Arabidopsis thaliana: one gene and its partner. The protein of the gene in region 2 interacts with the protein of the main gene of each other region in a pairwise test. Each region holds a gene or a part of one and is shown on either strand. Other genes may lie near its edges. The genes, in order: AT5G41650 and ERF-1.

Region 1 (3,446 bases), on a different chromosome or scaffold from region 2:
CTAACTTCTGTTTTCATATAGATTTTTGTTTACATTCAACCAAGTTTCATATAAAACGCTAGTTTTTAACCGATCAAGTGATTTTCGGATGGAACCACACCAGTATCTTCACCGTACTTTTCAAATCATTAACATCTATTTGGCCCGCAGAGATCAAACATGCATTCAGTGCGCAATTTTCAACAAATATATAACCTTTGTGAAGACTACCATTTAATACTTGTATTTTAGAGTGCTATCAAATTTAACTATCTCCAAAACTATTTTTACTGTCCCGAAAGTATTTGAGGAAATGTATAAATATACTAAGTTACACGATTTGACCACCTAGTATTTTGTCATATTTGAAAGGGGCGATTCCATTCTTGCATTGCATGTCGAAATTTCAAAGATTAATCAATGAAAGTTAATAGATTTTACTTGGAAAAGAATTTTAAATTGCAAAATATCTCTAAGTAATTAAGCACTAGATGAAAGTGCATTGGTAATGTCCAACATTTAGGATTCGGTGCATAATTTTTGTTGTATTTGTTTGTAACCAACTACAAACATAATGGTCCCCAATTTATCATAATCTTGACAAGATCTTTGAAAAATCAACCCACTTCATAAAAATCAATATAAACCATATGGAGGCATGGACTAAAGTAGTAATGCTCCAAAACTTGAGGGCAGTTTTGTAAAATGCTGACCTAACAACATTTAGTCAACCCTTCAACAACTACAAAAGCACTAAACAAAACTCCATTAAGTCCACTTCAATAGATCTTGTCAATTTCAAAGCATTGTGTAGAAATGAATCCGTCACTTTCAGGATATTATATATAATGAATGGAAAAAAATTGACTTGAGAAAAGCTTACTAGAGAAACAATGTGAAGAGCAAGTTAAACATGAACCAATATAAAGTATAATAGTGGCTTAGGTTTCTAAGAAGTATACAATAGCTTCAAAGAGATTATGGATATGATCTCTAAACAAATCTACTCTATGCATAATTGGCTTCCTTTCAGGCTTCAATTCTATTCATTTGCTCATGCAGCCTCATAAAGGCCTAACATGTAACCATCAGGGCATTTCATAGCCGCAACCTAGTAAAACAAAAAAACAACCGCAAAAATACTTCAAATCCCATTTCAGCAAGTAAGTATGAAATGAAACTTGAACATCTTCATAAGAAATTGTAACCTTTCCATGTATCTCATACTTGATAGTGCCATCTAATTCAGCTCCTAAAGCCATAAGTTTAGTCACTGTTGTATTAATGTCAGTGACTGTGAACGATAGAAGCGATGAGTATCCCTTCTCAGCAACATGATTGCTGCGGAAAAAAGAAAGTCTTTGAGAGGTCTTCTCAGCGATAAACAGTGTAACACAAAAGTCCAAATCCGGAAGTTATTTTAAGGGAATAAACTCAGAAAGTTTTCATTGAGGCAAATGATCAAACAGGTTGTGTGCTTTGAGCAATAATGGAACAAAAGAGGAGATAAAACCTAGGAGATTGCATAAGAGCTAGCTTGATAGGACCAGAATGGAGCTCAGCCCAGCGTAAAGTGACGACATTGACGGAAAAGTCGAGACCTTGAGCATAGAATCGAGCAGCTTTTGGTACGTCTCTGTGAAGCTGCAGAATCCACCTAAACGACGCCGTCGCCATCTCTCTCTAGACGAAGACGAACGAGTGTAAAATAAAACACAATACAAAAAAAAGATTGGCCATTTGACCCAAAAAACAAAAACAAAAACAAAAAAAAGATTGGCCCAATACACATTATTGGGCTTCTTTCGGGCTCACCTCTAAATGGTACCGTGTCGCACTCTCTGCAATATAAACCAGATATGAGATAGCTATTGGTTTATTTGAAAAAAAGGAAAGAGAATTTTTGGGTTGTTAAGGCCCAAATAAAACCCATAAATCAGTGGACTGGATTAGATAATAGAGTGGACAATCCTAAATTGATTGTGTGGAACAAAAGCATGAGCCGCTTGGTTCAGACGATGTTGTTATGGCTCAAAAGCGAAAAGGTAAAACACAAAGGGATGAATTTGGGGACGTAATCTAATAAAATTGACCATAATTCTTAAACTTCTAGGGTTCCTTATTTCGGAACGACACATATACACAAGCTTTATGAGGGAGAGGACGATGTCGCTGCCAATTGAAACAAAGAGGCTTTGAATAATAATTTTCGTCATAAGTCAAAATTTTACGAAATGAGTGAAGAAATACAAGGTAATCTTCTTAGCTTCTTATATAATTAAGAGATTTGTTTTTAAATCGGTTACCAGATAGAGATTAATGATAACTTAAATGAATATCTTAGGGGTTCGATACTACAGAAGCGAGTGATGGTCCTGAACTTCAAAAATCCATCTGTGATAAAAGGTGGTCACCTTGTTGTACCTTAGTCCGCCTTTATGCTAGGATGGGTCTTCATCGTTACAATTTGTTGAAGGTAATTCTAAGTCAATACTCTTCTTCTCGATCTCTTTTTTGTTTGTCAATTGTTGTATTGCACCACAATTCATTTTTTTTTGTTTGATCATCATGGGAAGAATTTACAGCTTAGTCGTGTAAAGAAATACAATATGAGTACGCATTATGCTGCTTGTAATTACTACATAACTTTGGTTGCTATGGATCCAGCTCGCAGCAAACTTTTGAATTTTCAAACTAAAGTTGATGAAGAACGTTTTGGCAAGTTTATTTTGAAATTCCCTATTGCTAGACCTCGAGGAAAAATCACTTAGGATGGAGCTTTGATAACTGAATGCTATTTCTACGTCAAAGGTGATTTGCTTAAGTGTCCCTCGGAGGATATTTTCGAAAATAGAAAGCGATTTTACGTGGTGGAGGAATCAAAGCTGCAAGTCAATGACTGGATTCTTCTATATTTGGAAGTTGCAGTTGCCACAACTCATAGGAGCAATGGTAAATATCATGATCTCTCCGACTTGAAAATTTTTGAAAGTAGTGAAGATGTGGAGCCACCTAATGAGGTATCACTCAATGTCATTAATGTGATTGTCTACATAGTGTACAAGGACTTTTATGAGTCTCGGTTGGTAAGGATGTTGATCGCAAAGCTATTGTTAAACGAAGCTTCAATGAGCATAATGGACGCTTCATTGTCGAGGGTCGAAATAAGGTTATCAAATCCGATTTGGGTCTGGTCCGACATTTACGAGTGTCCTACGCAAAAACTTAATGACATGTCCTTTTCATATATTCCAGAAACATACTTAGTAATAAAAATAAAATCTACTAAGTACTAACCTTTAAATAACGGTTTAAAAATTCTAAAACAATGGAAAAGAACTACAAAAAAATGTTGCTTTGACAATATTTTAACAGCAAGCCAAAGCAAAAAGTATGATAGCAAGTGTTTTGTGTTCGTGAATATAAAATGTTAAAATTAGATTATATGAAATTGTGTGATTATTGTT
Region 2 (4,003 bases):
CGATAATTTAGCTGAATATATATATCGTGATACATTTTTAATTGCATATATTTCACACTGAGATGGATAAATAAACATATGATTGGGATGTGATTTTGTGAATGATATTGAACAGCAACTCCCACAAGGTAAGAGTAGCAGCAGCGGATTCTCTCTAGCTCCTTTGAAGCACAGAGTCGAAGATACTATTTATGGTTGTCTTGGGACTATCTCTTTACTATTTGTAGCTGTTATCTTTCTATCAGAATCTCCTGTTTGGTCGTATGTTTATATCAGTTTTTGTTTGATTTAGTTGTTGTTTTTTGTTAGTTATTTGACTGTCTTTTTCTCCAATAATTGGGTTGTCTACTGATACATCTAAAATAAATATAATGTTAACATCAACAATACACCAGATAAATTTTAAAATAGTTGTAAAATAATATTTTAAAACACTAATAGTTATTAACGAACCAACTAATTAAAACTGTGGTGACGTTTTTTGCTTAAGCATTAACAAAGATTGTACTAATTTATTTCAGAAAGTCAAAAATTTCATGTGTTGTACATATGTATCTGTCTACATATCTTCTTCTACTATGTATTAAAAATTCAGAAAATTGAATTTTCTCACAAATGTTATCATTTTCCTAAACAAAAATGATCCCACTTGTAATTGGAATATGATTTGTTTTCTACGAATGTTATAGTTTTCTTTAGAAAAAAGTTTGATTCCACTAATAAATGGAATGATTGGAAGGTTAAATATAATAATAAACGAATTTTTTTATTAACGTTCTTCTTTTTTGAAGAATCATATAATCATCCAACAAAGAAAAATCAAAATTATAAAACCAATAAACGATCGCCACGTGCCACTTCAACAACCTCGCACTTCACCGTCAATCCCTTATCCATTCCACCACCGGCGGCCACCGTTCTCCTCTTCTTCGGAGCTCCGTTCTCGTTAGAAGAAGAAAAAGAAGATCTCTTGGACTTGATTCGAACCGGGTCGGGTTCTCCTGAATTAACTCTCAACGGAAAATTCAACAAAGCGCGGGAACCACGCATCCTGAAAGCAGCTCTGTCGTAAGCCAACGCCGCGTCCTCCGCCGTCTCAAACGTTCCTAACCAAACCCTAGCTCCGTTCTTCGCCGGGTCTCTAATCTCCGCCGCAAATTTCCCCCACGGCCTTTGTCTCACTCCTCTATAATGCTTTCCCTTCGCCGCCGTCACCGCCGCCGAAACAGGACTCGTCTTCTCCTTCTTGACCGGAACAGAATCCACCGCCGCGAAACTCTCCGGAGTCTCGATCTTAACACTCGGGAAAGAGCTACGATCTTCGTCGGAAGACGAAGAAGACGGCTCCCAACCGCCGTGAAAGGCGTCGTTGAGGATACCGTAAACTAACATATCCTCAGAATCGTTTTCTTTCAACGGCAAATCTCCCCAGCTCTCGGTGAAGCAAGGATACAGTTTGCTAAAGCTAGGGTTTCGTCCGTACACCGGTTTAATGCTCTGACCGGTTACACAAGATTGAGTAACCGAACTCGCTGTCGACTCACTGAGTATCGGCTCCGATTCTCCTAGTAAGTGTCGTCGTATGGACTCAAGAAAAGCATAATCAGATTGAGAATCCGCCGTCATCGACATAACAGAAAGATAATTATTAAGAATGTTTTTTTGTTGTTTGGTTTGGTTCTTGTTGAGATTTCAAAATGTCCGGTGTGAATGAAAAATAAAGAGGTTTTGTTGTAATTTATAGGGAGATATTATAGAGTAGATTGAGATAAAAAGGGTTCATGAACCTGGAAAATATTGAATTTTGACAAAGACTTGTGAATTAATATTTTAAGCATGTAATGGGTAATAAAAAAAGTTGAAAATATGAAAGTAATGGAAATTTCTTATTGCTATGAAGGTTCGTGAATTAAACACGTGCGTTTTATCCAAATAAGACACAAATGAAAGTAGCCGTCAAGGATGATGTCACGCAATCTACGAAGCAATGTTGTGATTGGTCTCGTCTCTCTCAACTTGTCTTTGGTTTTTTGTCTTTGGATGACTTTAGACCGTTTGTCTTTTTTTTCCCCAACTTGAACCGCCGGTTTACCGAAATAAATCTATGCAAAATTAGCTTTATTAATATGGTTTTACTGTTTTTGGGAGTATACATGTATATTAGTTATAGAAATCTAACTAATCTTATTTTTGGGAGTTGGAGCAGGGAGAAGAGTAGGAAATACGTTCCAAATGTTAGTACAAATTAGGAATTTAGAGATTTGGTTTAATGATCACACTAAAGCAAAGACTATTGACACTCCTCAGGGTTCACTTGGAACAATTAATGCAGCTTTTTCATGGGTTTAATTTGTAGACAATATCACGTGAAGCTAGCCACCAATATTTGAAGTACCAACTTGTAGTTAGTGAAGAGAGGCCCTGACAAACAACTCGAGTTGAGAAGCCAGCTGTTCGAACCTTTTGTCTTTATAAGAAAATATGTACCTCTGTTTAGTGTGAGAAGTTTGTAAGAGTGATGAGAGATTTGTAAACTTTAAATGATCGAATTTGAGCAAACATTGTTGTCTTAGCGCAATTTCAGAAATATTTTCGGATGAGATGGACGGTATCATCTTGGGGCATGTAGTAATATAAACTTTAAATGCTCGAATTTGATGGAAAACGTGATTATTGTTTGTTCAAACATTACTAAGACTTCATCTCTCGAGGTTTTAGATCTCACAATGTACAACTAACATTAATTTTTGTTTGACACCAGATACAATAATAACTACAAATATATATTATGACTCCTTAATGGGCATAATGACTTCCAAATTCCCGCCGGAGAAAGATAGTTCCTGTATGATAAACCAAAAATTCAAAATTTTCTTTTCTCAAAAAAAAAACCCCGTCATGTGAGCTAAACTAAAGATAGTTGTTCATAATATAATTTCTCTCATGTCGAGCTAAACTAAAAGTTAAAAAGTGAATGGGTGGGTCTCTCGCTTTTGCCAACTTGCAATGAAGACTACTTCGAGGAAGGATGGTAAGATGATGATTACTCAATTGCGCTGCCTCTATTGGTTTTAAATCACATCAACCTCTATATTCTTATCGTTGTTGGAAAATCTAACAGGAGGACCCCATTCTCATTGGGTTTTAATTCCACGTCAGAAACATAATGGGACAATCAAATTTCGAAACAAGGTATATAAATAGATAACATCTTAAACTTACAAGAAACAAATTAAAGACATCAACTGTTTAAGAAGCAAAAAAAAACTGCAAAACATGTATTCATGTATTCATTTTATGCTCATAAGTCATGACGACTTCCAAAATGGACATACCAATCATAATAAGGGCCTATAGAGATGTCAGATGAGTTTGGAGTGAATCATTGGTTAGATTATTGACAAAAGGATTTTTTATATAAGAATTACTGTCCATTTTATTTGAATATTCATAATTATTAATTTTCGTAATCATCCGAATCTGTAGTTTAAAAGATACGTTAAAACAAAGATACGTTAAAAAATTAGAATATATAAGACATTAGTTTACATACTTAATAGTTTGAGTTTCTCTTAATAATTTATTGAGTTTAACAAAAAAAAATGGTATACATTTGAAAGAGGGGAAGCATATGAGTGAATGAGTCTATGACACATCAGCTTTGAAATTGACCAAATCCGGTCGTGTGAGACTTTTGACCATAAGAATTTTCAAACTTTCTACAAACATCTGTGTACGTGAAAACAAAACCACACGTGCATTCCCACTGCAATTGAGTTCTTCGACAAAGATGGTATACTTTTGTTCTGGCAACAAAGAATACTTTTAAAAGTTTGTTGGTACGTTGAAAGATTAAGAAAACTATCCCATTTTCCCCGCATAAGAAAACTACTTTTAATAGAAATGGTGTTTCAAGAAAGAAAAAAAAAATATCCTTTTTTTTTTTTTCCTGAATATTATGAGGTTTTGGGCCGAAATCCGTAATTCCTCCAGATTCGAAACC

The links.
Region 1: the proteins of ERF-1 (region 2) and AT5G41650 interact in a two-hybrid assay, tested with the Arabidopsis thaliana proteins (one large-scale study listed by BioGRID).

The regions. Positions count from the first base shown.
Region 1 is NC_003076.8:16,653,166-16,656,611, reverse strand, and holds AT5G41650 (Lactoylglutathione lyase / glyoxalase I family protein), read right to left. Parts: upstream 1,700-3,446; 5' UTR 1,657-1,699; coding exon 1,493-1,656; intron 1,321-1,492; coding exon 1,188-1,320; intron 1,091-1,187; coding exon 1,034-1,090; 3' UTR 752-1,033; downstream 1-751. Other genes in the region: AT5G41640 (hypothetical protein (DUF626)), read left to right, coding at 1,977-2,024, 2,324-2,455, 2,565-2,610, 2,908-3,275.
Region 2 is NC_003075.7:9,757,034-9,761,036, reverse strand, and holds ERF-1 (ethylene responsive element binding factor 1), read right to left. Parts: upstream 1,835-4,003; 5' UTR 1,633-1,834; coding exon 826-1,632; 3' UTR 646-825; downstream 1-645.